3 linked regions of the Bombyx mori genome follow. The protein of the gene in region 1 interacts with the protein of each later gene in a pairwise test. Links are inferred from orthologs where the notes say so. Each region holds a gene or a part of one and is shown in the gene's direction. Other genes may lie near its edges.

The links.
Region 2: the proteins of general transcription factor IIE subunit 2 (region 1) and Ubx interact in a two-hybrid assay, tested with the Drosophila melanogaster proteins (2 studies listed by BioGRID, with this or other methods). The link is inferred for Bombyx mori from reciprocal best matches to the Drosophila melanogaster genes TfIIEbeta and Ubx.
Region 3: the proteins of general transcription factor IIE subunit 2 (region 1) and general transcription factor IIE subunit 1 interact in a two-hybrid assay, tested with the Drosophila melanogaster proteins (2 studies listed by BioGRID). The link is inferred for Bombyx mori from reciprocal best matches to the Drosophila melanogaster genes TfIIEbeta and TfIIEalpha.

What each region holds. Positions count from the first base shown.
Region 1 is NC_085118.1:15,263,849-15,275,366, forward strand, and holds general transcription factor IIE subunit 2, read left to right. Parts: upstream 1-4,398; 5' UTR 4,399-4,542; coding exon 4,543-4,604; exon of another isoform or gene 4,605-4,608; intron 4,609-5,336; coding exon 5,337-5,441; intron 5,442-6,265; coding exon 6,266-6,428; intron 6,429-6,885; coding exon 6,886-6,995; intron 6,996-7,422; coding exon 7,423-7,600; intron 7,601-8,248; coding exon 8,249-8,509; 3' UTR 8,510-8,580; downstream 8,581-11,518. Other genes in the region: broad-complex core protein isoforms 1/2/3/4/5-like, read right to left, coding at 10,808-11,025.
Region 2 is NC_085112.1:6,100,662-6,111,982, reverse strand, and holds the start of Ubx (ultrabithorax), read left to right. Parts: upstream 1-5,201; coding exon 5,202-5,664; intron 5,665-11,321. UniProt on the Drosophila melanogaster protein: Sequence-specific transcription factor which is part of a developmental regulatory system that provides cells with specific positional identities on the anterior-posterior axis. Binds the consensus region 5'-TTAAT[GT][GA]-3'.
Region 3 is NC_085128.1:9,614,479-9,625,805, forward strand, and holds the start of general transcription factor IIE subunit 1, read left to right. Parts: upstream 1-4,530; 5' UTR 4,531-4,927; coding exon of another isoform or gene 4,928-4,973; 5' UTR 4,974-4,991; exon of another isoform or gene 4,992-5,087; intron 5,088-7,542; coding exon of another isoform or gene 7,543-9,459; exon of another isoform or gene 9,460-9,466; intron 9,467-11,327. Other genes in the region: BGRP4 (beta-1,3-glucan recognition protein 4), read left to right, coding at 304-452, 1,034-1,135, 1,223-1,339; rab-like protein 3, read right to left, coding at 1,518-1,661, 1,763-1,817, 1,891-2,027, 2,965-3,110, 3,501-3,710, 4,928-4,973.

The sequences.
Region 1 (11,518 bases):
ATAATTTATAATGTGATAATAACCAATTTAATGTAATTACTTTATGCCGCTACAACAATAAAATTTATATTGTTCCAACTGTGGTGTTAATTACATAAAACACAACCAGGCGAAATAAAGAAGGGACTCTATATGAACTCCCTCATTGGTGACCCCGACGTGCTCGATCGTTACAAATAAAGATCGAGTAGAAACCATATACACTTGGCGCAGCATCCAGACAAGGTCGAGTACAAACTATATACACCTGGCACAGCATTCAGGCAAGATCGTCTACAAACCATATACACTTGGCGCAGCATCGCCGCGCACAGCAGAGTGATCAAGTACAAGCGGTTAAACACCTGGTGCGGCATTCCACAACATGGAACTTATCTTCTTTTTTTTGTGTTTTCTGATTAACTCAGTGAAGTGTTTTATATATTTTTATTTTTTTTTATTTTAATCTTAATACTTCTTCATATTCTCCGCCTATACTGTAACTTTAATTTTGTTACATAATTGCATATATAACAGCTTTGTCTTTGTCGACATAAAAAAAACAAGAAAAACAAAATTTTAATTTAATTTAAAGGTTCCTTTTGTAACAATAGTTAATCATATTTTGTTAACGGGCCTTCATTGCTCCGCCAATTCATTGTATAACATTGTAGTTAATAATAATATTAAGGTATTATTGTACGATTAGTAGTAAGGAAATATTTGTTTTTACGAGGCAAAATAAGTACAGTTTTAGGTTTTATCTACATGAATGCTTTAGAGTAAATAGTCACGAAATGTAAGTCGGTGCTAACATCACATCTGTATTTAACTAATTTATATTTTCTTGTTTACTATAATTTTATTTCATTGTTTTACTGTGTCTCTTATAGTCAGTATTTTGCCATCTTTTACCATTATCATTAATTTTCAATTTCCTCTTTACTTATTATTATTATTATTATTTTTTAAGTTGTTACATTGTATAAATGCTTATTTTTAATTTTTTTACAATTGTAAACGTAGTGTTCAATAATGGAGGCAAACGAACAATTAGTAAGAGAAGAAAATACACTGTTACTACAACAAAATGCCATCCTAAAGGCTGAGTTACAAAAACTTAAAATGCAAGGCATTGATAAAACGGACCCACCCCCCACAGACCCATTATTTCCTCAACCTACCTCAGTATGCAGAGTAGCCATAAAACTTCCTCCCTTCTGGCCTGATCGGCCTGCAATTTGGTTTGCTCAGGTAGAGGCACAATTCTCGATTTCAGGCATCTCCGCTGACCTGACTAAATTTAACTACGTGATTGCTCAGTTAGATACCCGAGTTATTGGGGAGGTAGAAGACATTATTCTCCAACCACCACCAGAGGACAAATATGGTCGCCTCAAATCCGAGTTGATCCGTAGGTTGTCCACGTCTGAGGAGCAACGTGTCAGGCAACTTGTCAGTGATGTTGAGTTGGGTGACCGCCGTCCTTCGCAGTTTTTACGTCATCTTAGATCATTGGCAGGAAACACCCTCACTGATGAAAATTTGCTTCGCCAGCTATGGATGCGTCGCCTCCCACAACATCTCCAAGCAATTTTGGCCGCCCAATCAGAACTCTCGCTGGACAAAGTCGCTGAGCTAGCGGACAAAATTTTGGAAGTTTCGCCTGGTATGGTCGCACCTCATTCATCTGCTGTTTTCTCAGCAAGCACGTCTGCCGTCTCACCCCCTTCGTTAGAAGATATCACACGGCGTCTGGATGAGGTCACGCGTCAGCTTGCTGTGCTTACTGCAGAGCGCGGTAGAAATAGGACCCGGGATTTCTCAAACCAGCGACGACGCTCACAAACGCCTGGTAAGCTTCAAATGTGCTTTTACCATAGGAAATTTAATACTAAAGCTGTTAAGTGTATTCAACCATGTACCTGGACGCCGCCGCCACCTTCGGAAAACGACAAAAGCAGTCAATGATGGCGACGTCTGACTGCTTAAAGGAGAGTCGCCGATTATTTGTCACCGAAAGTGCAACCAAGCGCCGTTTTTTAATAGACACAGGCTCTGACCTCTCCTGTTACCCATACCAGTGGTTAGCAAATAAGCCGGCACGTTCAAACTATACGTTAGCGGCTGCCAATGGTAGTGAGATACGCACTTTTGGTCACATAGAAATGGCGCTTAATTTGGGGCTACGCCGCACATTTCAATGGCGATTTATTATCGCTGACGTCAACACCGCCATCATCGACTCCGATTTTCTGGCGCACTATCGGTTGTTGCCAGATTGTGCCAGCAAGAGACTCGTCGATAGCATTACCGGGTTGTCATGCGTTGCGGCCGTCGCTGTTTTAGACCAGACCAGCGTCAAAGTTGTCTGCGCTCCGTCATCCCAATTTAGTGCACTTCTTGCGGAATTTCCGTCCATTACGAAGCCACCAGGACTTATTCGTGAGCCGAAGCATAACACAGTTCATTATATTTTAACCACTGAGGGCGCCCCAGTCTCTTGTCGTCCTAGACGTCTGGCACCTCAAAAACTTCAAGAGGCCAAAAAGGTTTTTGATGATATGGTACAGTGCGGGACAGCCAGACCTTCGAAAAGTTCGTGGTCTTCTCCACTTCATATGGTCCCTAAGCGCGACGGCACCTGGCGACCCTGCGGCGATTATCGTGCGTTGAATTCACGTACCATACCTGACAGGTACCCAGTTCGCCATATCGGTGACGTTGGCCATAACATATCTGGGTGTAGTATATTTAGTACCATCGACCTCGTTAAGGCATATCAGCAAATTCCTGTTGCGCCTGAGGATATCTGTAAAACCGCCATCATAACACCCTTCGGACTCTACGAATTTAATTACATGACTTTTGGTCTGCGCAACGCAGGCCAAACGTTTCAAAGATTTATAGACGAAGTTGTCCAAGGTCTCGATTTTTGCTCAGCTACATAATCTTAGCCATCCTGGTACTAGATCAACCATTCGATTGATCTCAGACCGTTTCGTGTGGCCTGGCATTGCCAAAGATTGCCGTTATTGGTGCCAAACCTGCGTTGCTTGCCAGCGAAGTAAGGTGACGCGGCATATAAAATCTCCACTTGGACACTTCTCCAGTCCTACGTCTCGACTGAAGCATGTCCATATTGACATCATAGGCCCTCTTCCATCTTGTTCTGACTTCCAATACTGCCTGACTGCTGTGGATCGCTACACTCGATGGCCCGAAGTTTGGCCTATGCACGGAATAACAGCAGAAGAAGTGGCGAGCACCTTTGTAGCCGGTTGGATTGCTCGATTCGGAGTACCTGCTGTCATCACTACCGACCAGGGACGACAGTTCGAGTCGGACCTTTTCAGACGCCTTACTAATTTATGTGGTACTAAACGTATACGCACTACTAGTTACCACCCTTGTGCCAATGGGCTCGTGGAGCGCATGCATAGACAATTAAAGGCCTCTCTGATGTGTTATGATGATTCGTGGTTGAATGCATTACCTTTGGTCTTATTAGGAATGCGTTCGGCTTTTAAAGAAGATCTACAAGCAACAGTAGCGGAATTGCTTTACGGAGAAACATTAACGCTTCCAGGGGAACTGTTAGTACCTCCCGGTCCTTCTGGCTTCGAGGACCCGACGGATTTTGTCGTAAAGTTAAGACAGCGTATGTCTAAATTGCGTCCCACTCCATGTTCCTCACACACTAAACCATCACCTTTCATATTTAAAAATCTTTCCACCGCCTCTCATGTAATGCTCAGGGAGGATTCGGTTAGACGTTCAATGCAACCACCTTACTCTGGTCCTCATAGAGTTATATCTAGAGCCGAGGACGGAAAAACGTGGTCGATTGATGTAAAAGGGAAACAGGTGACGGTCAGTGTCGACAGAATTAAGCCAGCTTTCGTCGAGCATTCTTTAGTAGATCTCGTTCCAGCACCAGCACCGCGGGTTTCTGTGCCTCAACCAGCGCAACCGGATGCTACTAATGTCCCTTCATGTCCACTCGTGCCTTCGGCACCTCTAACTGCTACTCCTACGCATACACCTCAATATACCACCCGATCAGGTCGCAGAGTCCACTTCTCCAAACCTTTCGACCTATGATATTTTTTTCTCTTTTTCTGCGGATTCTCCTTCTCCGTAGGGGGGTGGTGTGGCGTTTTATTATGCGTAAGCCGGAACGCACGAGATGTGGGAAAAAGAATATAGTCTGTGACAATACCTTTTTACCGCCAAAATATGAAAAACAAAAATAATTTATAATGTGATAATAACCAATTTAATGTAATTACTTTATGCCGCTACAACAATAAAATTTATATTGTTCCAACTGTGGTGTTAATTACATAAAACACAACCAGGCGAAATAAAGAAGGGACTCTATATGAACTCCCTCACGTCATTTGTCAAAGATGGTCATATGTCACATGTCAAATTGCTCAAACCGGATTTTAAAGAAACAGGATTTGGAAGTGGAAAATAGACTACATTACAACAGCAATTAAACAAAATACTAATACAATTGATACGTACTTTTAGTGATTGTGTTTAAAAGACGAAAATATGGACCCGGCGCTCTTACGGGAACGGGAAGCGTTTAAAAAGAAGGCACTTGCGACCCCGAGGTCTGTTACATTATTTTTAACTAAACTATTCGCTAGTCCACAACAATGATTGGAGACATACTGGCATCCATCGCACACTTTCTCTGTCACTCACGTAGCCCATACAATTACTATCAATTCACTTCCTTGTGGCAATATTCATTACTGAGTCATTATATAAAGTTATGAATGGAAATATGTGTTTCGAAATACTAAATGAGTAGAAATGTGAACAAATCACTTGTGCAGAGAAAAGTAGAAGATTTAAATGTTAATAAGATATAATATCTTTCCTAATTTAATAGCAGCCAATATTCTAGATAAATATGATCAAGGCACAGGCCCTATTTTTTTAAAGATTATATTGACTGGCATGCCCTAGGTAAATTAGAATACAATGGAAAATGTTTCATTTAATTTAAAGTAATGAATTTTTTCAAAGAATCTGATCAAGCTGACAGCCCACATTATGTTAAGTGATTACCTGAGCCCCTAGATATAATGTGAATGTCACCAATTGTTTTGAAACATGATTTTTATCTAAAATGCTACTTCATCTTATAATCCATTTATGAAAACGTGTTAGAAATGTTTTGCCGTGGAAAAAATTATACAGGTCTATGGTATTTGAATACCAGCATAGTCACACTTGATAAAAGTACACTTTACATGAGCTATAGTTCAACCCATCGAAAGGTTACTGTCAAATTAGAACGAAACAAAATTAATAAAGTATTATTCTTTTCTCTTCAGCATTGAAAAAAAGAAAAGGGATGACTCTGAATTCAAAGATGACAGCAAAAAGAAATCGAAATCATCCAGCTCAGTCAGCTCCGGACCAAAGCTTGATGCTAGTAAGTAAGTAAAGGCTAGGGCAACATAATTAATAATTTAAAATATTCTGTTATCAAAATAACTATTGAATTTACATAGTTACTGTGTTCCGCATAAACAAATATGTGCATCATTTACTAATGCTATTTTCATTAATAAACTAGAAATCACATTTAGTTTTATCTTTTGACTAGGTCAAATTACTATATCAGCAATATCTATTCATGACATCAGTACCATTGCTTCCCATAATTTATTATGCTTTATAGGTAATTTTAATCGCCAATTCTATTAAATAATACTAATAAACTTTTTATAGCAATATCAACTTTTGAATAAAAAAAATTAGAAAAAGCCTTTGGAAAAAAAATTATGAAAAATAAAAAACACAGGATTTATTTGGAATTCGAAAATTTATATTATGATAGCCTTGATACAGGCTATATGTAGCGAGCTTTTTATTGTTAAAAAAATAATTTATCATTTAGTGTATTTGCTAAAATCTTATAAAATATATAAAAAAGAATTGATCATATTTAGTGCTACAATGGATAAAATATTGAGATAGAGCATATAGATACCAGTTCTTTCTCTGTTTGACAACTCTCCCTTTTATTTAATTTAGTAGCTATTAAAGAGCTTTTGTGTTATCAGAAAACAGTTCTAGATTTTTTTTTATATCACTAAGTAACGAAACAAAAGGGAAAATTTAATACTAAATTGAATCTAAACCTTGAGGTGTCAATGATTATGGTCGAATTTAGATCAATAAGCAAACACTAATAATATTATTTTTTGTTATATTATAATTATTGGTTAAATCTGTGATTGATCATCATCCTTTTCAGTTACAAGACTATGACTGGCAGCTCGTCCTATCGCTTTGGTGTGCTAGCGCGTATTGTACGGCATATGAGAGCAAGGCATCAAGATGGAGATGACCATCCACTGTCTTTAGATGAGATTTTAGATGAGACAAATCAATTGGATGTCGGAAATAAAATAAAACAGGTATCTTTTAATAAGTATTGAAATAATAAATAAATTACCTCAATAATAATTACAACAACACACACATTTTCTTATAGCTGATGATAAATGCAATTTTTATTTTATTACTAAGTCTAATGTGCTCACGAACCACCTGGTGTTAAGCAGTTACTGGAGTATATAGACATGAGTTCTAAATCTCACTTTTATATTGCTTATGCTTCAGTAAAGAAATAGGCAGTGTGGTTATATCTACCCCTGCATGCTCACAAGACACCCTATTAACACTAACTGTATCTACATAATGTATAAAAATAATCATGAGTAATTACTTTAGGAAAATGATGGCATTAATTACAGTATTATTATACCCCAGCACACAAGTACCACAACACCCAAATTGATTAAAATGCTTTTTATAAATAATATTCTATTTTAATTGATTTCTCTTTTATAACCTGCTGTAAACATTTTCAAGTGGCTACAAACAGAAGCCCTACAGAGCAATCCTAAAATCGAATGCTCTCCGGATGGAAAGTTTAACTTCAAACCGGTTTATAAAATAAAAGATAAAAAATCTTTACTGAGGTACGTATAATATTTTCATTATTTACATAATTCAAATGTAGTAACTAGAAAACGATTTAAAGATCATCACCTGACAAAAATCATATAAATAAAAAGTACTTGTTCAATTTGCATTTCATTTATTGTAGGCAGCGGTTTGGCTCTGCCCCTGGCATTGCTGAAGTCCATGGGCGACGGTAACTACTCACCATCAGGTGGGCCGTATGCCCGTCTGCCCACAAAGGCAATAAAAAAAAAATTGTCTTACTCTTATACACTTTTATTTTAAGCGTGTTGTGTATGTTTGTTTATATGTAATAAATAGAATCTATGAAAGTCATTTTGCCCCCGACTTCAAAATGTCCAATCAACTTAAAAATTTACAAACTCATCAGGACCAACCTCTCTAATATCGATGACCAGTATCAACAATAATTTAATTTTATAGGTTACTTAAGCAACAAGACCTCAAAGGCTTGGGAGGTATATTATTGGAAGATGTTCAAGAGTCGCTGCCTCACTGCGAGAGAGCACTGAAACATTTGGCACAAGAGATTTTGTATATAACAAGGCACACTGATAAAAAGAAAATATTATTCTACAATGATAAGACTGCTACATTAGACGTAAGTAGACGTTGTGGTCTAATTATTTGTAGGGAGCACACTGTGAGCCCGCATAATATATACTATCTCATATTCATAAAATATATTAGAGATTGTTCAGATATAGTATTATCTATGAGCTCCTGCCATTTTCTTGGTTTTAAGCCAAAAATTAATTTTAAGTTCAAAAGATAGATAGAAAGATTGTGAAGTCGTTGTGGCCTTAAGGATAAGACGTCCGGTGCATTCGTATGTAGCGATCGATGCACCGGTGTTGGAATCCCGCAGGCGGGTACCAATTTTTCTAATGAAATACGTACTCAACAAATGTTCACGATTGACTTCCACGGTGAAGGAATAACATCGTGTAATAAAAATCAAACCCGAAAAATTATAATTTGCGTAATTACTGGTGGTAGGACCTCTTGTGAGTCCGCACGGGTAGGTACCACCGCCCCGCCTATTTCTGCCCGTGAAGCAGTAATGCGTTTCGGTTCGAAGGGTGGGGTAGCCGTTGTAACTATACTGAGATCTTAGAACTTATATCTCGAGGTGGGTGGCGCATTTACGTTGTAGATGTCTATGGGCTCCAGTAACCACTTAACACCAGGTGGGCTGTGAGCTCGTCCACTCAATAAAATCAAACCATTAATCTCTTGCAAAATTCAGGTAGATGACGAATTCGTGAAATTATGGCGTGCAACAGCGGTGGACGCGATGGACGACGCGAAGATCGAGGAGTACCTCGAGAAGCAAGGGATCAAATCCATGCAGGATCACGGGCCAAAGAAGATGCTTGCTCCCAAACGGAAGAAGGCCAAGCAGAAGCGTAGACAGTTCAAGAAACCAAGAGACAATGAACATTTGGCCCACGTACTGGAGACGTACGAGGATAACACGCTGACTCAGCAAGGAGTTTCCATTAAATAAACTGTGATTAATTTGTATATTTTCTCATTAGTTGTAAGGCAAACGATGGTGATTAAAAAAAAAGTGGAATATTTGAGTTTTTAAGATTTTCCTTTATGCAAATACCTTAGCTCTTGTCACAAACGAAAATTTAATTAACAATAGACAATAAAATTGAAAACATACATTTCTTTCAGCGAACTCTCCAATTCCAATTTTAAATTCAAAACGGATTGACGACAAGCTTCCCACGCAAAACTGACTCAAATATTTATAAATGTAACACTTTTGTACGTGATTATCACTAGTGGACGGTCTGACGGATGAGCTCTCATCTGATGTTAATTGGTCGCAGGAGCCCATAGACATCAACAACGTAAATTCCGCAGCCCATCTTGAGATATGGGTTCCAAGTCTTAGTTTTTACAGTACACCAGCTGTCCCACCCTTCAATGCAGGATGACAAGACACCCTACTAGGTTTCTAGATTTTTATTTTTTTTCAGGGCGCGAAGACACTACTGGTGGTAGGGCCCCTTGTGAGTCCGCACGAGTAGGTACCACCAGCTTGCTTATTTCTTGAAACAGTAACGCATTTCGGTTTGAAGGGTGGCGCATCCGTTGTACTGTAAAAACAGATTTAGACCACATATGTCGAGGTGGCGGCGTTTACACTTTTGATGTCTATGGGCTCCGGTAACCACTTAACACCAGGTTCACTGTGAGCTCGTCCAACCAGCTATGCATTAAACAAAGTTTCCTTTGCTAATTCATAGGTTGCAGTATCTTAATCCTTGTCATGGCACACGTCGCGACCTTATCACTCATTTAGAATCTGTATTATCAGCGCTTATGAAGCAGAGGCGTGGGAGAGACAATCTAGAGACTATATCTTGACATGAAGCGTATAAATTAGATTTACTTTAAAGATGCTCATATGGACTCTTGGGTTTTATCATCGTTGAATATTATTTGTTCTTGGGATCCCGACCACCATTAACAATACTATTATGAAACCCATCCTAAATTGAACCTTAAAGCCAATAACCATAAAGCTGAGATCTTCGATATCTGAAGTCTCTAATGTTGGACCATTATTATGGTACACAATTATAGGTAAGACACGTTACAGAGATGAGATTCCCTCCATCTGGTATCGCTGTCGCGAATGAAAATTACACTCTGTTTTGACCTCTGCGTTTTATTGAGGGTGGTCATAAAAAATGCAAGTTTTAGTTACATCTATACCTGTAAATAAAATTGGAGTGTTTGTTTATAATATTGAAATAACCGCTTTTTACTACATGCATATATAAATATATATACGGTACGTACAACAACATTTTTTACAATTTTTGTCTCTCTGTCTGTCTGTTTGTTCCGGATAATCTCTGGAACGGCTGGACCGATTTTGGCGGGACTTTCATTAATAGGTAGCTGATGATATAAGGAGTAACTTAGACTACTTTTTTAGACTAGCTTTGCCCCGCGGCGTCACCCGCGTTACGACAATAACCGCGTGTAACATCGCGGGACTCAGCTAGTTAACAATACAAAAAAAAAGCCAGTATTAAGAAAAGAATGAAGCAGATTTATTTTAAGTTATCCATTGGCTTATTCTTTGTTTGGTGCCGTCGTAATTGCACTTCCGTTTGAGCAGCTTTCAAAGTTGTAAAAGTTCCGCCGCGTTGTATCTTCTTAATGATTTTCTTGTCATGAAACGGATGATTGTGTAAACCGGTTCTGTGAGAATAAATGAATTCATTGCAAATTTTCTATTGCACGCTTTTTATATATAACTAGCTGACTCGGCAGACTTCGTAGTGCCTCAATCGATAAATAAAAGACCTACCTAACCTTTTGTATAAAATAAACTTAAAACAAACAAAAGGAATCCGTCCGACGAGGGACACATCAAAGGGAAAACAAAAATTGTTATTTTTATTTAATTCCGAGCATTTTCATATTTATCTACCTTTTAAACTTTCTCTGGCCTTCCACAAATAATTCAAGACCAAAATTAGCCAAATCGGTCCAGCCGTTCTCGAGTTTTAGCGAGACAAACGAACACCAATTCATTTTTAAATACATATATAGATTTTAATGATGATGATGATGATTGTGAAAGAATTTCTAAGAGTAATGAAGAAACTAGGGCAGGGTGAGCAATATCTATCAGGTTAATATTAAATATTATTTTATTATAACAAATTAAACTAATATTAAAAGTACAGCTCATGGTTGCATGTTTCTGACTAAGTTGAGGTGTAATAATATGTCTATGAAATCCATTCTCAACACCAGGTAGCTTGTAAGATCGTTAGCGAATAAAGTAAAAGTACCTTCTGACAACCCTAGAACTGTTGGTGAGTACTGAGGCACGACAGCGTGGTTCCTTCCCCGAACCGTCGACGCATTTCCAACTTCGATTACCAGATTTGCGGCTATAGTATTTCATGTTGTAAACATATCTATTCAGTACCAGTTGTAAGTTACCGTGGTTCGACAGACTATACTGAAGTGTTGGCTCCTTTGTTCCTTGAACGAAAAAAAAATATATATTGAAGAAAATTTAAATTCCTACACCGTCCATATTAACTTCTGATTAAATCGGTTATAGGAAACCAGCCTAAGTGGCTTTCCCCTTATTATCGTCGTTAATCCCGCTGCGATCTTGGCAACACAGGTTAGTTACAATCTTACTCCCCCGTAAGACATATATATATATATATATTATAAGTCGTCGTGGCCTAAAGGATAAGACGTCCGGTGCATTCGTGTTGAAGCGATGCACCGGTGTTCGAATTCGAGGCGGGTACCAATTTTTCTAATGAAATACGTACTCAACTAATGTTCACGATTGGCTTCCACGGTGAAGGAATAACATCGTGTAATAAAAATCAAACCCGCAAAATTATAATTTGCGTTAGAAGAAATTACTAGTGGTAGGACCTCTTGTGAGTCCGCGCGGGTAGGTACCACCAACCTACCTATTTCTGCCGTGAAACAGTAATGCGTTTCGGCTTGAAGG
Region 2 (11,321 bases), on another chromosome or scaffold:
AGCCCCGGAGGCGTATACGAAATAATCTGAGCGGTGTTTACTGGGAGTTCTACAAACGGGGCACTTCACGTGACGTTTACGATCGTTCGAGTGGTAGTAAAAATTATGTTTACGATGAACGCGGACGCGTGCCATGCGCAAGCGCCGCCCGCCATGCGAAACTCATCACATTTGCCGCTTGAATCTGAATGAGACCGCACACTTGCATATTACCATCTTTTTTTATACTAGTTACATTGTCGCGATAAGGAAGCCGGAATCGTTTTAGCGTATTGTTGCCGTACTGTTTGTAGTCGTGACGCAATAAAACAGCTTTTTGGATTGTTAGTATGGCGAATCTCGTGACGGATCGCATGAAAGCTTTAGGATCAAAGCTCACAGTGTCATAATAAGTAAACAGAAAAGATTTATTAAATCTATGTTTTTGTACATGAAAATAGTTAATCTTAGAAAAGCTGTCCAGGTATCACAATGTCCTTCCTGTGTTAATGAGACTGATGACTTTTCGAATGATGGGCTAAAAGAAAATATAAAATTACGATAAAATTAAATCATCAATAATAAATTATTGTTTTTGTATAAATAACAAATAAACCAAAAATATAATTATATATAAACATATCGAAGCTCGTGGGCTTCAATATTTTTGTATAGTGAATTTTATATGTCTATGAGACTACTTATACAAATATATTTTATCATTTTCGATCATCAGACCAACAATTTTCTATTTAGACGGAATTTCCAATTAGGTCTGATTTAATAGAAGATTATTTATTTTCTTATTCGATTTCCATTTTGTTTATTGTTTAAGTTGGCTAAATGGATTCACGGTCCAACTAGTGGGCTAATAATGCCAACCTTGAGACAATCGGGTCTAAATGATGTCTCATGCTTAAGCCGGAGGTTATGGCTACTTCGTGACTATGAGCATATTAGTACCCCATAAGGCGCTTTACCAATCAAAAAGGCATAGGTACCTAGTTGTCGATAAAAGACGTGAATTGAGTTTTAAACATAAAATTACGCATTGGCCGAAAGATGTTACACACATGAAATCATGTCTTATAACTATGTTGGCGGTTATTCTGCTGCATTATACTAAGTCCAGTCCGATCAATCTTACTGGTGGTAGGACCTCTTGTGAGTCCGCGCGGGTGGGTGCTACCACCCTACCTATTTCTGGCGTAAAGCAGTAATGCGTTTCGGTTTGAAGGGCGGAGCAGCCGTTGTAACTATGCTTGAGACCTTAGAACTTATATCTCAGGGTGGGTGGCGCATTTGCGTTGTGAATGTTTATGGGCTCCAGTAACCACTTAGCTCCAGGTGGGCTGTGAGCTCGTCCACACATATAAAAAAAAAAAAAACTTGTATCGGTCTAGCAGATTAGTGCCGTTCAGTCTGATCGAACAATTCACGAATTCACTTTAAATAATTCACATTCGTCCGTGAATCACGAAAAACTGTAAATCATTCGAAATTGCCGAAGTAGTAAAATTAAAATAATAAACGCAAGATCGAACCGTAAAAGTAGCTTTAATCTTTCGACTCTCAAAAAACTTAGAAAATGTTATATTAATTTGTGTAATTGCAGCAAGTAGGTACATGATCTCAGGCTCTCCACTGTTGAACATAGCCCTCTCCAAGTGATCCATGGAGATATTTAGCCTACTGTACCACGCTGGCTAAACAGGTTGGTACAGGGTGTAATTTCGAGTTTATTTTATTTTTATTGCTTAGATGGGTGGACGAGCTCACAGCCCACCTGGTGTTAAGTGGTTATTAGAGCCCATAAACATCTTCAACGTAAATGCGTCATCCACCCTGAGATATAAGTTCTAAGGTCTCAAGTATAGTTACAACGGCTGCCTCACCATTCAAACCGAAACGCATTACTGCTTTACGGCAGAAATAAGTAGGGTGGTGGTACCCACCCGCGCGGACTCACAAGAGGTCCTACCACCAGTAATTACGCCAATTATAATTTTGCAGGTTTGATTTTTATTACACATAGGTATTAGTTTTCCTTCTCTTGCACTGATGTCCTGTGCATATTCCTTTAATTAGTTCTTACGACTCCCTGGGATAGTATAGAGGTGTTAACACATTATATTCTTACTCCGTCGTCACACGAACGTCACAGCACAGCAAGTACATGTGTAATATAAAATTTTTCACTGATTTTCTGACCGGAGAACATTCTAATTAAATGATAAAGCCGACGATTCTCGCTGTTTAAATACAAACAACTTACTTATTCTTAGGTACCATAAGCACTGGTCACCGACCTCGTCGCTTGCGACGAAGGGCTCGACGAGCGAATTAACCCATAGACATAGTCCACTGAGTTTCTCGCCGGATCTTCTCAGTGGGTCGCAGTTCCGATCCAGTAGTGGATTTTGCGAAGCACTGCTCTTGCTAGGCCAGTGTTAGCGACATTTCCGGTTTGAGCCCCGTCAGCTCACCTACATGTTAGGGTGAAGCTGAAATAGCCTCTCAAGGCTATCACCATAGGTAGGAAAAAAATACCTATTTTAAGTTTTATCATCAGATTAAAATAAGTCTTCTTTCATTCCGGAGGAGAGATATGTTGGAGGCTTATATGACAGTGATTACCGTCAATGACGTTCTAGTATAGAAAGTTCTAGTATATTTTTTTAAGATGAGACCGCTACCTATATTAATTACTCTGATGTGATTGCGTGCCGATGACAGTTCACTGCATAGTTTCTTAGTTTATTTAACAGTATTCAAATGTTTTTAGTTGTAAATTTTTGATATTCTGATGATGGGCATTTTTAACTAGATAATAGCAATCGTTAATACCCATTATAGCTATAATTGTCAACTAAACGATTGTTAAATTCAGGAGAACAGTTGGATATGTTTATTTTTATTTTTTATTATTATTTAGATGAGTGAACGAACTCACAGCCCCCTGGTATTAAGTGGTATGTGAACTTTAATAGGTTCGAGCTTGTAAATTACTAGACAATAATAACTTGCGTATTTTGGCTGCGAAACAGTACAGTAGAAATTTACACCGTATGTGTCAAGGTGGATGGTGCCATTGTACCAATTACTACCAGATGGACCATAAGCTCGTTCACGGGTTTGTGCGATAAAAAAACTAATTAATTTCTTACTGCATTGGAAGCCTTCAAACTAGAGCTATGTATATGCTCTCTTCTCTTCCTGAAGTTTTAGACGTATCTCAAATAAACTAGTACAGAGTTGTGTCTTAAAGATTCAGTAGGTACTAGTTTATTCGTCTTTAACGTAAATATAAGAGTTCAAGTAATATTTTAATAATCTTCACGAATTGTAGAGCCTAGTGAGCCCACACAGGTACGTAGCGCAAGTCTATCAAGTCCTGCGCTTTGGTTTGATTTAAAATTGCTGTTATTATACAATATAGTTGAGACACCGATCTCAAGGTGAATGACCGCTTTCGTGCTGTGATGACCATGGGCTCCAATGAGCAATGCAAAGTGAACGTGTCTGCCAATTTATAATACGATAAGTTAATAATATAAATAGATAATTATCATTTATGCTTTTAAAACACTTGTCACAATCGTTTTGTGTTATGCGAGTTTTGGATGTAGGTACCCATGGGCAATCTTGTGTTGTTCCATTAATATATAATTCAATTCTAATTTATTAATATTTTTCTTAATTTCTAGTTTGGTGTCGTGATTTGGTTCTGGTTCAATAAGTTATTTTGCAAGTTAACGAAAACCTGAAATAAGGTAAGTTTTAAAAAATCATAAAAAATTTAAGTATATTTAATTCATGAAACGTAAACCACCATTATCTATTAATTAAAATAAAAGTGTTAAACTTGTCATTTTACATATATCATTTTTAATAAATAAATAAAAAAACGTCTCAATACCCGGATCTAAAGGAAATATTTACATACGAAGGCGCAATAAAAATGCGTTCAATTCTTAAGGGTAGGGCGCACCATTCATTCGTTTGACGACTTCATTTGGTCGCGCGAAGTGAACTCGCGATAATGCGCTATTGTTTACCCTCCGATAGTGCGTTGTCCACTGCATGCGCTACACAGCGCGAGACCAAGACCGCTATACACTAATCAGCCCCGCTCGGATGATAACCGTTCCGCGCTCGACGCGCTGTCCCTTTCGCTCTCGAACGGGCGCCTTAAGCAAGAGAGCAATAGAAACATCACTCGTAAAAACAGGTAGTAGAAGAAATAATAATCATCTTTACGACTTCTCACTCTATTCAGCACCTTGTTACGATACTGAACGCTCATTGTGGCACGGTCGACGAGTGGCTGTAAAATCTTTTCTTTACTCGCCCGTTTCACTAATTGTACGTTTATGAGTTTACGACTTTTGCGGCTTAACTTTTTCGTTCTATTCATTTTTGAGGCTTTTGTTGAGGCTCTTCAAAAGTTTTGTTACGCGGTCGTCCGAAGATACATAAATTGTTAAAAGAAAACATATAGTTTATAATAGGATTTGATGTTATTGAGTTCTCTCTTAAGTCATATAAATGTCAGTTATTAACCTAGGTATTCTGAAGTAGAGCAGCTAAAGTTCTAGTTTGTTTGACGAACGTTCGCCACGTGCTCGAGTGGGTGTGATAAGGAAAGGAAAAGAGAGCGTAACTGATAATATTTATAGTGATTAGCGAAAAGGGGACGGAACAATAGTCGTTGGGCTGCGATGGTAGCAGTGAGCGCGGGGCGGCGCGCGTGTCTCAGCCGCGCTCAGTACATTGCGTGAGCCGCGTCGCGCCGGTCGCACACGACACACAGCCGCGCGCTCCCGCCACACGCGACGGAAAACTTCGCTCGCGACACAAGCCTCCGGCCCATACACCACCACGATCACTTCTGATTTCATACAGTGGAGACGCGCTCTCGGCTGACGTCCTGAGACGAGCCGGCGCCGCAGACGAAACCGCTTAAAAAGTCGTAAAACCCGCGGCACGCGCTCCCGAGTCGTAAAATAATCGTAAAAAGTAAACACACGTCAACTGGCCTTTATCGCCGACGAAGCCCATTATGACGCTTTAGTGACGTTTAAGAGGCAATAAAATTAATAAAAATAAATTACGTTGTCCGTATTTGGTGTGACATTGGCGGAGGTCGCGTTATCACGGCGCGCGGGGCCGCGATGACATAAGTGTTCCCTGAGTGACGTTAGTGCCTGTGACTGGTCACGATGAACTCTTACTTCGAGCAGGGTGGTTTTTACGGGGCCCATGGAGTGCACCAGGGCGGCGGTGGTGGAGACCAGTACCGCGGCTTCCCTCTGGGCCTCACGTATGCACAGCCACACGCTTTGCACCAGCCTCGTCCTCAGGATTCACCGTACGACGCGTCTGTCGCGGCGGCCTGCAAGCTCTATGCTGGAGAGCAGCAATATCCTAAAGCAGATTGTTCAAAGCCAGGCGGTGAGCAGCAGAATGGCTATGGTGGGAAAGAAGCCTGGGGCTCAGGTCTGGGAGCACTAGTGAGGCCGGCAGCATGCACTCCTGAAGCTCGATACAGTGAGTCGTCAAGTCCTGGTAGAGCGCTTCCGTGGGGCAACCAGTGTGCACTTCCGGGATCAGCAGCATCAGCCGCGCAGCCAGTGCACCAGCAGCCTACTAACCACACTTTCTACCCTTGGATGGCCATAGCAGGTTAGTAAGTTAAAAAAAATTATCTCGATCACAACTCTATATAAATTGAATATGCAATTTCGAAAAGGGCACACCTCTGAAAATGTAAAATGTTCAGGAAATGAAAAAAAACTGATTATTTTCTAAAGCAGTGTAAAATTTAAAATATTAACTTTTGAAATATATTTTAAGTGTTAATTAGCAATTGAAAATTACGGGAATTATTATAAAATGGGTGTAGGTAAGCCTCAAAACTACATGTATATGAAAAAACGTATTTGACAAAATATGCGACATGTGCCCTTTTCGAAATTGCATATTCGATTGAAGTGTATTATTGCGATCGTAGGTGCAGTTTTTTTTTTGATAAAATTAATTGCCGAAGTCTCTACCTATTAATATTGTATATTACATATTTGTTTACAAATATCACTGAAATTTATGATTCTATATTTAAAAATATATTGCGTTTCCCATAAAAAACTCGTCAACATTTAATATACATAAGTGGAAATGAGAGGCGTAACAAAAATATGTCACGTCCGATACCCCGTAAAAATCACTAAAATGCTGCCATCCTGTTTGGCACACATAATCGGGCCACTTCAGAATCGTCCATTAATGTTTCCTAAGAGTCCAATACTAACCGGCAGGTAGCCGACAAATCAAGTGTCAATAAAAAGCACATAAAACGAACGACCCTCGTTAACACCTTATTAGTGAGACAGATTTGAGTACCATTAATAATTTTATTGCGGACAAAACTCAGGATCCTCCAAATTACTAATTTGTAACGATAAATTGATATCAGTGATTTGATCATAAAATCTTTGGTGTAGACTTCCTGAATGTTGATGGTTCGTAGCAACGGAACTGGTATATAAATTATAGAGCTATGGAACTGGATTATTTGAAATAAAGTTCTCGTGTCTTAAAATTTTTTTTGGAACAAAACTAACAAGGTTTGTGAATTAAAATACGATTTAATCTTGGACTGGACTATACGGAGATTTAGCAGAACATATTATACCTACTTTTTTTACCGGACGACAAAACACTAAAATATTTCGAGAGAATGTAAAATAAAGAGACAAATATGTTGTCGATATTTACTTGTGTTCTCTTTTCTGACCCATAACAATTTAAATTAATTTTATAAATACATTAATAAAGCTAAGAAATAAAATAAAATAAAAGTTATTTATTATTAAAAGTTGTATATTTATTTTATTACTATCTAAAAATAAATAAAACGTTTAACAATCCTTCAATACTTAACACATACTTTAAGATGAAATTTTTCAGGTTCAAAATTGATTGTGTAGGCATAAAGTAAAGCAAAAAGCGCTATTTTAGTGGCCCAACGAGGCAGGAGAGGTGCGCCCGCGCCGCCCGCCCGGGTCAATGGCCCGGTCTAGTTTTGGGCGCATTATTATTAACTTACTGCCACTGACCATTCGACAAATGACCATCCCATTAAGAGCGCTTCAATCTTCAAACATACGTTTCGGTAAACATTCAATTCATGCACTTAAAAGATAAAATAACGCTTTAAAAATGTTTTACAAAATATCTAATACGGCATATTAGTTGGTATAGATTAGAATTTAAGTCTTATAAGAATCGATTCTCTCTCATTCGTAGTAGTTTTTCTGGAAAAGAAGTCCTATTCGAATTTCGATTGAATCGATTAGTTCACCTGGGCCGGCGACGAGTAATTAATGCTACGCGTGTGGTCCCGCCTCGTCATAATTCATGCGACTTGATAAAAATTAAGTAACAGGGCCTAAAAAATAACAAAATAAAATGAGAAGTCGAACCGTCGGCTATAATTCACTGTGGGTTCACGCAACACAGGCCGCGAAACAATACAAGGACGCTTGTTGGACGTGGCATGTATGAAAAGTTCGGGCTTGTCCATGAACGGTCCCTGCTGTTCATTTGGACAGTTTGCTAATTTGTAATACCTGTAAAGTAAACCTTTTTTGGTATAAATACCTAAAACATAGGTAATTTGGTATAAATTCCTATAAATATAGAAAGAAAAAAAAATTGTGGAGCTGTAAATGTAACTAATTTAGTGAAGCAAACGATAAATACGGTATAAGTTGAAGCTCGAAATTGCAATCACATGCTCCCGATCTTACTGCTATATAATTGAGGACTTAAATTACAGGGCCGTGGACTTCTTTTTTTTAAATTTGTTACAAGCGGTTTTTAAATGGAACAAAATAAAAACAAGAAAAATTATTTGGTGGAATAATTTTCATTTTCAATCATACGACAATTATTATGACCCTTCAAACAGCGACTTGAATCTTTCTCTTCTTACTTGGTGCACATTCGTTCTGTAGAGGCTTTTACACATTCCGATTCTTCAAAACTTGATATTGAAAAATATCAATTACATATAGCAGATTATTTTACCTTATTACTGTACAAAAACAGAAATACTGTCAAAATTCCTAGTACATATTTAACCCACATATAGAGAAATCAGTAGGACAATGTAAAAAAAAACTCTTTCAATAGCTATGAGTACATGCTATCTTGTAACTTTTTTTTTATTGCTTATATGTGTGGACGAGCTCACAGCCCACCTGGTGTTAAGTGGTTACTGGAGCCCATAGAAATCTACAACGTAAATGCGCCACACACCTTGAGATATAGTTCTAAGGTCTCAGTATAGTCACAACGGCTGCCCCACCCTTCAAACCGAAACGCATTACTGCTTCACGGCAGAAATAGGAGGGGCGGTGGTACCTACCCGTGCGGACTCACAAGAGGTCCTACCACCAGTAATTACGCAAATTATAATTTTGCGGGACTGTATAAATCTAGTTAATCAGTGGTATATTTATATTTTATTTTCCTATTTAACTATCCACGTAATTTCTGTCTTTGGTACTTTTGGTATAAATTAGGAACCAAGAGGAACTAGACGGTACTGTACTATCGAGCGTAATAGTCAGGCATTCTGATTTGAAGGGTGAGGTTGTATAATACAAAGGAGATTTCAACCTCATACCTCAAGGTAGGTGTTGGCGTTCAGGTTGTGATTTCTATGGATTTTGGTAATCATTTAATGCGATATGGGCTACAAACTAAACTACATACTCTTTGCAATAAAAATAGGGGTCAGGTAATCGTGGCATAGCATACTAAACCACACAAGCGGGTATCAATGTTCTTTCTGTTTCTGCCAAGAAGCACTCATGCGTTTCAGTTTTAAGGTTGGACATTCCGTATAAAATACTTTGGTTTCACGCTATAAGATAGGATGTATCTTTGTGCAGTCTTGAAGCTTCCGTTTTCGCTAAACACTAGTTTTTCCGTGAATTTCCGGATCTCTGTACGCCATTTCCTTTTTTTTGTTGTTTGAATACTATAATCTTAAGTATGAACTTCAAACATGAAATTCAAGTTTACAACTCTTTTAAATATACAGTGCACGTAAGCGATTGGAAATTATATTTTATAGTATCCTTTTTGTTAAGTTAAACGGCAATTATGGCTCATATTTCAAGAGGCTGTGATCCGAAAAGGAATAAAAATATTGTGCAAACCAAAAGAAAGTGGTAGTCACATCATAGAATAAAATTCAAATTGAATTAATTACAGCCAATCTTAACAATAATGAACTATGATTGTGCGTTCCAAAAAAGATACGGAACTCTACAGTATAAAAAAAATTCCCTCACTCTTATTTCGTATCGTTATCTCGCAATGCGTTTAGTCGGGTTGAACGTATCAACTTGGCCCTATAATTTCAAAGCAGTCATGTACCTGTCATTATAATTGAATATGAAACTCATTCGGAATTCAAAACTCGCCGATTACAAGAAGAAATCACTGTTGACGGTGTTACTCCGTCTGCTCAAGGCTGCCGATCCGTTGATACCTAAATATATCAATGTGCGTATAGGCAGAGATATTAATTCCATTAAAGTTCAAGAATTAGAAGAATAAAAATTTCATTTATCGAACGCTCAATGTGTACAGCGGTAATTGCGTGCGTTACGTAATATGTACGTTTCATTTTCCCGAAATAAAGAGTTGCTTGTGTCCACTATCTGGTTTATAAGCTATCGGTCGATTTGTAAATTTGTTGGTACATAAAATCACGAAGCAGCAAACACACTGTCGTATTTATTGTAGCAGATATATCCGACCGGGTCGTGTTGAAAAGTACGCTGTGTTTTAATCCAAACTATAAACTACATATTTCAGATTTTTTCATCGAAATCCATTTTTGAATGGTTGAGTAAGAAAATTTTACACATACTCACTTTCATATTAATATTTAATTTGGTTGAAAACGTGTCCAAACTCAGAGGTAAAATCTGACCGTATAATTTCTAAGCAGGTACCAAATTTGCGATGCAAGCCCGCGAGGCAACATTTTAAATCGTTCCTTTATTGGAACACATCGAATATCCGGAGCAGAATCATATATAAGCTTAGTAGGTAAGAAATATTTTATTTATCCTAAATTTAGTGTCAGTGATGGTTCGCTATAACAGTGTTTATAGATAAATAAATACATATACGTACATAAATAAACTAAAAATTCTTTTAAAGTGTCAATAAGAATTTTACATAGCGATTTTATATAGAAGGTATTTACCAGGTAATATGCAAACAATGCATACATGCGGTAGGCAGCGGCTTGGCTCTGCCCCTGGCATTGCTGACCACCACTGGTAATCAGTCACCATTAGGTGGGCCGGATGATCGTCTGCCTATACGGCAATAAAAAAAATCTTACTAATAGCACTTGTAGTATTTACTACATTAATAAAAAAAAATTGCTACAATAATTGGTAACGAATTAAAACTAGAAAAATATATAAACGCGAAAGTTTAAAACATTACAGTTGTAATGTTTCTAACGATCTCCCTATTAGACGAAAAAACGTTTCACTGTTTAGAAACAAATTTGCATGTGTTAAATACAATTTAACATATTTTAATTGCAATATAAATATATATTGTCTATTGCGGCTTGGCTATACATCTTATTAACCTAAGATGGTCGTTATCGTCTACCTTCTAAGGCAAAGGAAATACATAATTAAAATAACTTTTACGGTTTAATTTGCCATTTTATATTGTCATCCACCGTTTCGAATAGTTTACAGTTTTCGTGGTCTTGGACGACTGAAAACCGATGAAAATACTAAATAAAGAACAGTTAAACATTTCTTATTGCACAATTTTATATCGTTTTAAACTCAGTATGAAGTCTTAAAGAAAATAAATAAATAATAGTTTAAAAAACTAACAAAACACGCTTTTATAGAAAATCCAACTAAAAATAGAAAATAAATTTGAATTAAAACGTGAGGTGCTTTTCAGGATATTATCAAGATAAACCCCACTACTCATATTTGTTCATAAAATATTTATAACTACTGATACCATGCACCCCACGCTTTTTTTACAATAAAATCATTTTTTCTTACACTAATATTAATTCAAATTTATTAAAATTTATTTTCAATTTTTTAGTTGGATTTTCTATAAAAGCGTATTTTGTTAGTTTTTTAAACAATTATTTATTTTTAATTTTTTAGTTGAATTTCAATATTTTCAATATTTTTTTAAAATATTGTATTGTCATCATATTGAAAATAATATTCAAAGATTCCGGTACAAACATACATAGGTACCTACGT
Region 3 (11,327 bases), on another chromosome or scaffold:
ATATTACTACAAAACGAGTTTGGTTTTTTCGTATTAAATCAGTCAATTGCACAGTCCACCAGGTTTCGAGTAGTGACCGGGCCTCATACATATAATAACCCTAAAAAATTTAAAATATGATATAGAAGTTTCGTCCAATGTAGCTTGAGGATTTCATGATCAACATAGAAGCAAAAAAATATTGAAATTGATAATCTTGGAAATGTATTAAAGATCTCTTATTATTATTGAATTCAAGGCTCAATACCAATTATCGCCAAAAATTTAATTACGAAAGTAATTATATATTAACCAAATTCGCAGATTTCATAAGCTTTAGAATTGACGACTCTGAGATCGGTCGTGTCACTCCTGGAAATGGTGGCTTTTGGGAATACGGCGGCTTCAACAATAGACCCGGTATTCATAACCCGTGGAGATATGGAAGTAAGATGGCGCCATTCGACCAAAAAGTACGTATTTACACACCCACAAAAATGTTACTATACTGAATTTGCTTTTGACAAACGACGTACACAAGATATGTTGTATAGACGGCATTTGCAGTCAGATTGCATAGGTTTGAACTCACTCACAGATCTCGTCGAAGATTGAATTTAGTGTCTTGTTGATTATCAGATTATTCTACATTCTCTTTAAAATAAATACAAGTTAAGACGGACGCAATATATTTTAATGCTATTAGCTGTTTTCTTCTTTGGGTAATATCTTTTTCTATATAGACTTTACAACAATCCTCCCAAATACATGGGCACTCGCTAGTCGATTGGATATGGATAGGATTGTATTTATAGACGCTTCCGTTGAAAAAAGTGTAAATCTAACATTAATAAATAATCGAGTACAAACCACATACCGCCCAAAACGGGCCTTAAGAGTAAAGTCCTAGGAGTCCCAGTGCCGTAGGAACTAGAGACTGATATAAGACATTTACTAATCAGATAATATGTCTATATCTATTTTTAATATTTTTTTCTTTAAAATACTGTAATGTAAACACAGGAAGACTATTTACTGATTGTTAAACTTTCAGTTCTATCTCATAATCAACTTAGCTGTCGGAGGCACCAATGGTTTCTTCCCTGATGGTGTCAAGAACCCTATTCCTAAGCCTTGGTGGAACAATTCCCCAATGGTAAGTAACAGCAAAACATTTTAAAACCAACTGCAAAGCTTTTTTAACAAACGTAATTTACTTATTACTAGTTTCATCACATTACAGGCAGCCACAGATTTCTGGAATGGCCAAGGCGGTTGGCTTCCGACGTGGAATTTGAACGTTAACGATGGTCAAGACGCTTCCCTCCAAGTAGACTACGTTCGAGTTTGGGCGTTATAAATAATTCAATAAATTTTCAAAATTTTGCATTAAACTGATTTTATTAATTAACAAAACAATAAAACAATTATTTTTTCTGCGTCCAATATTTCATCCTTACTCCAATTTACGAAAGGAAAAAAATGTTTTTAGTTTTCGAACCTAAGGAATGATTTGAATATAGGCAATACAAATATTTTTAATCCATATGATAAAACCTTGGACTCATATATTGAGATGGTCTGTTGTTAGAAAGAGGAGTTGACGTAGCCATGATGTACGGGGGAATACGTCTTTTATCTGAAAATGGACTAACTCGCGAATAGTATCGACGTTCAATTACCTGCAAATATATTTGAAATGTATGATATGAATGTATTCTACTAGACATGAATATAAAGTATTCAGATTAATTGATTATATTGTTCTTTATTCGTGAAATACCTTATCAAAAAATCTTGTTAATTTCACTGAATTCGTAGAGCCTGGAGCTAGGGATCTGAAATATTATAATTTAATTTCGCGTTACTGAAAATCATGTTTATAAACAACAGAATATTTTCAATGGTTACCTTGCCTGATGACAGGTTACAAATATTTCGTCAGCACCGCATTGTTCAGCTATACTACTTGCGAGTCTTCTATACTGATTTTTCCTTTGTTTTTCCTCCGCAGCGTCGTATTTAGTCCCGATCACTAAAATCGGAATCTACAATCGAACTCTCCAGATTACGTATTTATTGTCGAATCAAATAATAATTTACATATTATTTACGAAGCAAGGTGACGTTGTTTAATTATTATTGCCAAAGCTTTTACACGTGCAGCCTGTGGGTTAATTATGGCCAGCGGAACTGCTGGATCTACATATACAATATAATGATGCCTTCAAGATAATCCAGTCACCATCCTCATCGAGTTCGTCGATTATGAAGAAGAGTTCGACGAGCGAACTAACCCAGACACAACCCACTGAGTTTCTCGCCGGGTCTTCGCAGTGGGTCGCAATTCTGATCCGGTGGTAGATTCTGCGAAGCACTGCTCTTGCTAGGGCTAGTGTTAGCTAATTCTCTCAGGTTGTACCCGTGAGCTCACCTACCCGTCCGCATGTGATAGGAATAGCCCTGACTTCTACGCCTACGTGAGGAAACGGACCGCGTGAATGTGGCACAGAATGCGTTTAAGCTCAGACTGTATTTTGAGGGCATTATGGCATGGTGTTTCCCGAGCGCGATGACTTGTTCTTCTTCAAACGAGGCTTGTGGAGAGTACATAAAGGTAGGCAGCGGCTTAGCTCTGCCCCTGGCATTGCTGAAGTCCATGGGCGACGGTAACCATTCACCATCAGATGGGCCGTATAGTCGTAAGCCCAAAAGGGCAAAGGCAACAAAAAAAAAATTGCAAAAAATAGACAGTCTATTTATATTCTATTTATAGTCTATTATAAGTATTTGATGGCAAATCATTTGGACAAACAACGCGCTAAATAACCAAGCTCGCAGTATTTTGCAATCCCAACCGTAGGCTAGATTAAATAACATTTTAAATAAAAGTTTGCTACTAACAACTATATGGAATTTCTATATTCTGAAATAATATATTATTTTCATAAAATAATACTTAGATATTGGAACCGAAAAACAGACCTGTGTGGAACCTAAGAACTGTTCCGGATCGACGTCTACATGCTGTAAAGTTGGATTCGAACTGTCCTGATTCAATATTTCAGCGAGCCACTTCTGAAGATTCACTTGACTTTTTCTGTTCGTCAAATCGTGCACCAATATGATTCCTTAAATATTTAATTAACTCTTTAACTCTACTATTCATCTAAGAATGTTATTCTGGAGTGGTATGTCTCGTGTTATCGGGAAGATTGCATATGTACCCATGATAAATACGCACTTAACAAGTATTCATAAACAACTTTGATATGGGAACTGCATCGTGTATTATGCATTTTATAAATTTGAATTATTACTGTGGATAGGTCGCGTATGAACCCACAGGGTTAGGAGCCCTTTTTTATCACCAAGCAATCATGTGTTTTGGTCTGAACGTTGACAAACGACTAGGTATATGTCGACGTGATTTGTAGTCGTTATTGGTGGTACCAGATGGACAGTGAACTCGTTCATCCATAAAAAATCAAATTAAAACATATTTTTCTAATATAACAAACCATGCGTTGGTTGGTAAAACACATCTCTTGTGTTTCTATGTCCATTTGAGCCTCCGACATCCCAAAGTTCTACGAAGAACGTGTTTTGGGCTTGTGTTCCTTCTTTGTATTTGTGTAATTTAACTTCCACAGAGCAACCGACCGTCCATCCCGGCGATAAAATGGGCTTATTGTGTGCTATCAAATGTGTTAAAGATGTTTTGCCCACACCTACAATTTAAATGCTTTATTATTTCGAAACCATAAAAAATATATCGATCTAATTAGATTACAATAATGGATCTGATGGCAAAACTCATTACGGAAATTCTGACAAAAATAAAATCTAAGTTCGTTATAAAATATAGTAATTATGTAATCTAAAGATACTAAATTAAATTTGTGTAGCTCGCGAGCGATTCGTTCCGATGAATCAAATTTTAATGAACTCATTCACATATTTTCATTATTTTCAGAATAGGTACTTTCTCTTACATTTTGCGAGTCGGTATACCTACTAGGTAACTAGACATTTCAATTAATTTTAGTTTGTGTTGTTTAGTTATCACATTATTATTATCAGTCTTAAGTCTGCCTGAAGTATGAAGAAATCGCAATTTTAATGAAATCGCTTCTGCTGTGATTGAAAAGGTTTCGATTCCGGAGTTGTAACCATGTGCAGTACGACTATACAGAATAGATTCCCCGTAAAGGAAGTACGGAACGATTTTAAGTAACCAGTGTGCTTAGTGCGAGTTTTTTAACGTTCTCGATAGCGTAAAAGTTAGCTAATATTTGTATGGGATGGGATCGTTTGCCTACGTTAGGGGCGCTATTCCAATTGCATACAAAATCGGGTTAATTTTTACGCTATCGAGAACGTTAAACTCGCACTAAGCACAAAGTTCACTCTACGGAACGAGATTTAGTGAACGAGTTCACTAACGTGAACGATTTAAGTCCCGATGTCTATTCTAGATATAGTACAAGCATATAAAATGGGGTGTGGGAAGTGGAAACAGAGCGCCAACTAGCTCTAGCACACCCTCTTTATAAAGTCTAACGTCAATATTACGTAGATGTCTATTCAAATGTAATAAAAGTTTTTCTGCCTACTATTATTTAAGAAAGTATATTAATGAATTAATTTATAATAATGTTATAATACGTTTTCGACTATGGATAATCACGAGATAAACTAAATTTTAATTTTTAAAACTTCAGATAAATTTAAAAACAATAAGTCAACTTTCTCATTATTGTAAACAAATATCGATATTATCGAATGTGACCACTACGTTCGCACCTATTTTTGTAATGTTGGCTATCATTAAGGTGTCATGGCGGAGCGTTATAATAAACGTATTGTTATTTTGTGAAATTCTATGTGCCTACTTGTATGTGCTATAATAAATGGACGACAACGAAATTAGAAGAAATAAGCATACCTGAATCACCGAGGACCACAACCTTCACTTTCTCAATCGCAGCCATTCATTGAAGAAATTGTCGGTAAGTGTTTGCAAATAAAAATGTTTGACAAATTCACAATGTCAGTATTGTCTATGTCTAATCCACCATCTTCATACCTTCAGTACTACCAACTAACGATACGCGATTATGAATTTCCAATCGAATTATTCGACTTACTACATCATTCGATTAGGAATATTTCAATTGGGGCGAACTTACAAAAAAAAGGTAAAAGGTAACGTTACGTTTTATACGTTTAATTCTGCTCCGAACTTGCGTTTAAATTAAGCGTATATACTGAAAATAGACAATGCACCGCGCGCTACAACATCCACAACTTACCGCAAAAAGAAACGCGAATTTAAGACATACAAGAAAATATTTAAAACCAAACTTTCGAAAGTAAAAAAGTCCAAATTAAAAGTCCCAATGAAATGTAAAATCAATAATTAGTAACAATGTCTGACACTAAAGAAAGCCGACAAAAAGTTGAAAATCATTAGTTTTCAATTAAAATAAGTCACTACTACTACTAGTCTATTTGTCATTCCATTATCAGTACATACTTAGTATTAATACTAATATTTATGTCGACCGCATCTGTACTGTGTCCGAAGTTGTATATTTATGAGAGACAATAGAATAGAGATAAAGGAGACGGAAAATCGTGGGCCAAAAATGTAATAACTTGGAATGTAGTCTAAAAAATTTGTCATATTTTTTTATATAAGAATATAAAAAATCACCTCAATCCTCTTTCTGGGACCGGAGAAAAATGAGAAAGTTAGTTTTTGTCGGTATAACGGTGTGATCGATTTAATTAATCGATTACAGGATTATAAAAAGAAAAACATTGCACTAGGTAGTTAAAGCAAAGTAATTAAATGAACGATTTATACTTGTTGTATACAAGTACGGTATACGCCGGATTTAATTGCGATTATATACATAAATGAAGAAAAAGTCTATTATTACTTAACAAAGTAATATGATTATCGATTTCAAATCGATTAAAATCGATTGTATTTTTGATGACAGCTTTGACAGTAAGCTGACATGACGTTTGTTCATAGATTATACAATTATTTTTTGGCGCTTGTTGGTTTTTTCTGCTTTACTCGTTTTGTATTTTCGACGCATTTTGAGTGTGTATCTATCGGGCTGTTTTTATATTTTCAACGATCACTGCTTTATTATTACGGATTCCAACTCTGCCAGCCTTGTACGACAATTGCTTCTACACTGGACACCGAAGATCGCTCACACGTTTGACTTGAAATTGTTGCATTGGATACTGTAGAAATTATGGATCGCTGTGTGAATTGTGGGATAGCAATTCCATATTCCATACCTAATATATATCATTGATATTCACTCTTATTATGACATTTAAATGATTATCCAATGGATATAATAAACATTTACTTATGCTTAAATAAGTTATTATTCAGCTCTTTTAAAGAGATTGTAACATAACCTTGCTTAAATAAGTTATTATTCAGCTCTTTTAAAGAGATTGTAACATAACCTTGCTTAAATAAGTTATTATTCAGCTCTTTTAAAGAGATTGTAACATAACCTAACTTTTACTAAATCTTTATTAACTCGGCTCTCAGATTGAGAAAACTTTTATAATTTTCAGCAAGGTACTGATAAATCTGAATCTATTAATTCATATTAGTTTCATCACGTTACATTCGGGCCCAAAAATGTATGTAATCGTTTCAGTCTCCTTTGATAGAGTCGAGTTACTACTAACCTGAAGTTATGAACTGCTAAGTAAGCCTGTTTTTATTAAATCTCATTGGGTTTATGAAAAACGGTTTATAAAACATACATATCTAATTAATTATCAATTAAATTTTTTTAGACAACGTCACTTTACTCTGAAATCAGCGTGTTCATTTTAGTTTTTTTTTATTCACTCGTCGAATAAAATAAGTAGAAGTAAAGGTTCATTTTCGGTACAATTTTAAATCATACCGTATTTTAATTTACGCGACATGAGACGGCTTCACGACGGATATAGGCAGAGTAGGTCCTACCCGTGTGGGTTCACAAGACGCCCTTCTATCTGTAAATAAGTAACTTCTAATTTTTGCGTATTTGATTTTTATTAGATGTTCTTATTCCGTCACCGTGAAAGTAATTCGTGAATATTTTTCAAGTAGGTACGCATATCACCGGAATGCACCGGGCGTCTTAGTTCTTTACGCCACGAAGACTTCAAATTTTAATACAATAATGATTTTATGTCTTGTGACCAACAATTTATTTCAATAGAAAAACATAAATATATAACTAAATTAAACAGATTAACCTATAAATGTATACCACTATCACTGAATAGGTGTCTATTCAAAGTTCAAGTAGTATATGTCAAAATTTTGCTTGAAGTCGAGCGAACGCGAACATTGGTTGGACTAGGAAGTCAGAGCTTACGAAAATTTACAATCATAAAATCGATACGATACAGACATAACTTTATACACTGTCCGCCATTGTATAACTTTTGTCTTTTGACAATGTTGTGGTTAAGATCACTGTAAGATGTTACGGAGAAGTCTAAAACCATCTAACAATAATCATAATGGACCTGTTCATCGAGCTGTTAATTTTGCTGCTTCTCTCAAAATCAGTCCAGTTATATTGTGGTCCATACAATGGGCAAGTATGTAAAAGTTATTCTACCGGCTACGTATGGTACAACCACACTGGCGGACTCGACAACGAGAAGATAACAAGTGGCCTTTGGAAAGAAATGATCTCAAATCTCCAAGAACCATGCAGGACTCAAGCTGAAAGATTGCTTTGTGCTTATGCGTTTCCGAAGTGCATCAATAAGGACGGTGTCGGATACTTTGCCTTACCACTTTGTTATGAAGACTGTATGGCAGTTAAAATGCAATTTTGTTATAACGACTGGATAGTGATTGAAGATCAAAAAGAACGAGGAGTGTTTTTCGAATCTAGGGGTCATTTTCGATTACCAGAATGTGAAAATTTACCACATTACAGTGGTAAAGGCTCTCAAGTTTCCTGTAATAATATTGGGATTACTGACATGGACCTTGATCAGGTGACTACAACCTGTGTAAAAGGTAATGGCCGTTACTACCAAGGTGTAATTAATGAAACAAAAGCTGGTTTAGCTTGTCAGGCTTGGGAGTCGCAATTTCCCCATCAACACACCAGACCTCCATTAGTGTTTCCAGAAGTGCAGAACTCTTCAAATTATTGTAGAAATGCTGGTGGTGAAGAAAATAGGCCTTGGTGTTACACTATGCATCCAAACGTGAGATGGCAGTATTGTGAGATACCAATGTGTGCTAATTCAAGTCGAGAGAAAGACAATATTAAGGGATCAAATTTAATAATGGAGAATTACTTTACACCCACATTTGTTTTATTATTATCAATAGGGGGCCTTGGATGTGTTTTAGCTATAGCAGGAATAGCTTTACTATGTCATTATATTGTTAAAAATCATTACTCTAAGTGCAATGTTTCAAGTCGCAGGAATTTACAAAACATGGATATAGATTTAGATAAATTGCCAAGTAATCTTGCCTACCATACAACTGGAGCACAACTCAATCCTAAGTTAGAAAAGTTAGAGTTTCCAAGAAATAACATAATATATATTCGTGATTTGGGTCAAGGGGCCTTTGGTAGAGTATTTCAGGCAAAAGCTCCAGGTCTTATACCAGATGAAGAGTTTACTTTGGTCGCAGTTAAAATGCTTAAAGATGAAGCTTCTCATGATTTACAATTGGATTTTGAAAGAGAAGCTTGCCTACTTGCAGACTTTGACCATCCAAATATTGTTAAATTACTTGGAGTTTGTGCTATAGGACGTCCAATGTGTTTGCTTTTTGAGTACATGGGAAAAGGTGATCTAAATGAATACTTAAGAGCATGCAGTACTGTTACTAGTTTTGCACCAGTAGAACACCGTGAAGATCTACGATTGCTTGCTGCACCATTAAGTCACTTAGATCTTCTTCACATTGCCAGACAGATTGCATCAGGAATGCTGTACTTATCGGACAGGAAGTTTGTACATCGTGACCTTGCAACTAGAAATTGTTTAATAAATGATGACATGGTTGTAAAGATTGCAGACTTTGGACTCTCACACAAAATTTATTTACAAGACTATTATAAGGGTGATGAACATGATGCAATCCCAGTAAGGTGGATGCCGCTTGAAAGTATACTCTACAATAAGTACACGTTAGAATCTGATGTTTGGGCATACGGAGTATGCTTGTGGGAGATATTTTCATTTGCCTTACAACCATACTTTGGTATGACCCATGAGGAAGTTGTTAGATTTTTGAAGGATGAAAATGTGTTAGCTTGCCCAGATAATACCCCTAGATGTGTCTATGATTTAATGAAGCAATGCTGGAATCATAATCCAAGTGATCGTCCAAATTTTAGAGTAATTTATCAAACACTAGATAACATTCAGCTAATTTTAGAAAGAGGTCGAACACATTAATGTGTGGGTTCAAAGTACTATTCAAAACAAGCAAGGGTGTCAGTTCAGCTAAGTGATATGATATACGTCAAAATCATGAATTATTAATGAAAAATAATAATAAGCCAATTATTTATATAGGTAAGAAAAAAATGGTTCATTATCAGAATTATTTATGGCAAACATTTTTAGATATGAGGTAATTATACACATAACAAATGATTTTGTAAACACATTAAGTTGTTTCTTTAATGCATGATATTGTATGTTTAATACACATTTTTGTTGTTTGTCCATAACTGAAGACTGACATAAAATGTATGTATAAGAAGACTAGGTATTTTAAGTTCCTTTTCATTTGATTCTTGTTTGTTAAAACATTAGCTCACATTGGTTCAAAGTTTACAAATTATTTATAAACCTAACACAATAAGTACTCTAAAAGCAAATTTCATTACACACCAGTAATGTTATTAATAAAATAGTATATTTTTGTAAAATTTCAACTCTTAAATACAGAAAAATAATTAATATTAGACCTAATAAATGTAAAACATGAAAATTGCTAATTCTAAAAGTAGCACTTATGCTTTTTTTGTAATCTGAGGATCTGTGAATGTCTAGTAAAATATGAAATAATGTATTCTTTAAAAATTACAATGATTTTTAATTGAGTTAATTAAAAAATAAATCCTCAAATCAATCAATAATGTAATTAATTCAAGATGTCAAATGGCTGCAAGGTGGTTGTATAGATATTTTTGATATTTTACAATTTTTTTCAATATTAATTGTTTTTCTATCTTTGCCTATAAAATAATACAGCTATAAATAAAATGCCCTCTTGCCAAACATGTAGTTTTTCCCTGTGGTCATGGTATCTTATGAAAAAGCACATAATAAATGTACAAATTTCAATTTGAATGTTGTTAACATAGACATTTATTTCGCATAATAATAATTATTAATTTCAAAATGTCTAAATAGACTGCCTCTTATTTGTTTGTTGTAGAAATAGAAATAGATACATCGAAGACTGATCTTAATAGGAATGTTATAATTTAATTCTAAACATTTTGATGTTCTCAACGAAGGCATTTTTTATTTCTACAGACGGATAGACGAGCTCATGGCCTGTCAGATGTTAAGTGGTTATCGCAGCTTCATTAAATGTGTAAAGAAAAACTTGAATGTTTTTGTCCTTCTTGAGACACGAGGTTACGAGGTTGAAGACTCAATTTTCTTGTATAATGTCTGTCCAACCCATCAAACCAGTATGCGTGACGGCTTCATGTCAGAAATAGTCACGATGGCTGTGCTCATCCGTTCGAGATCAATAGGCCACATCAATAGAACTAAAAGCATGCCAAGCTGTAATGTCAGTCCGGCGTCCCGAGGGGGAGGGTGATGGGAGAGATGTGCTCCGCACTAAACACTTCACTTTCCCCCCTTTGCCTTTTCATGAGTTCTGTCTCATGTGAGGTTTGGACGTTGGTTGTTGAGCGACAGGAGGTTTTAGTCGGTTCGACTCCGACATGCTCCGCCCGCCGTCCCCAGTGGAGGGCGGAAGTCCGGCGATTTCCTCCTGACCAAAAAAAAAAAAAAAGCTGTAATGAACAGTTGTATGTAAGTTTCTTTTATTAGATAAGTACATATTTAAATACAATAAATACGGTAATAAACGAACAAATCGCGTTTTGTAGCTATCCATTCTTGTGGTATTTTAAAAATAATACTATTTTATTATAATACGCGTCCAGAGCGCAGCTTAAACAATATAATTGACATTATTAGAATGATATTATAATATAACGATAATAAAATAAATGGTACATGCGCTACCAAATAAAGTAATTTTATTGTAAATACATAAATAGGAAAACAATATT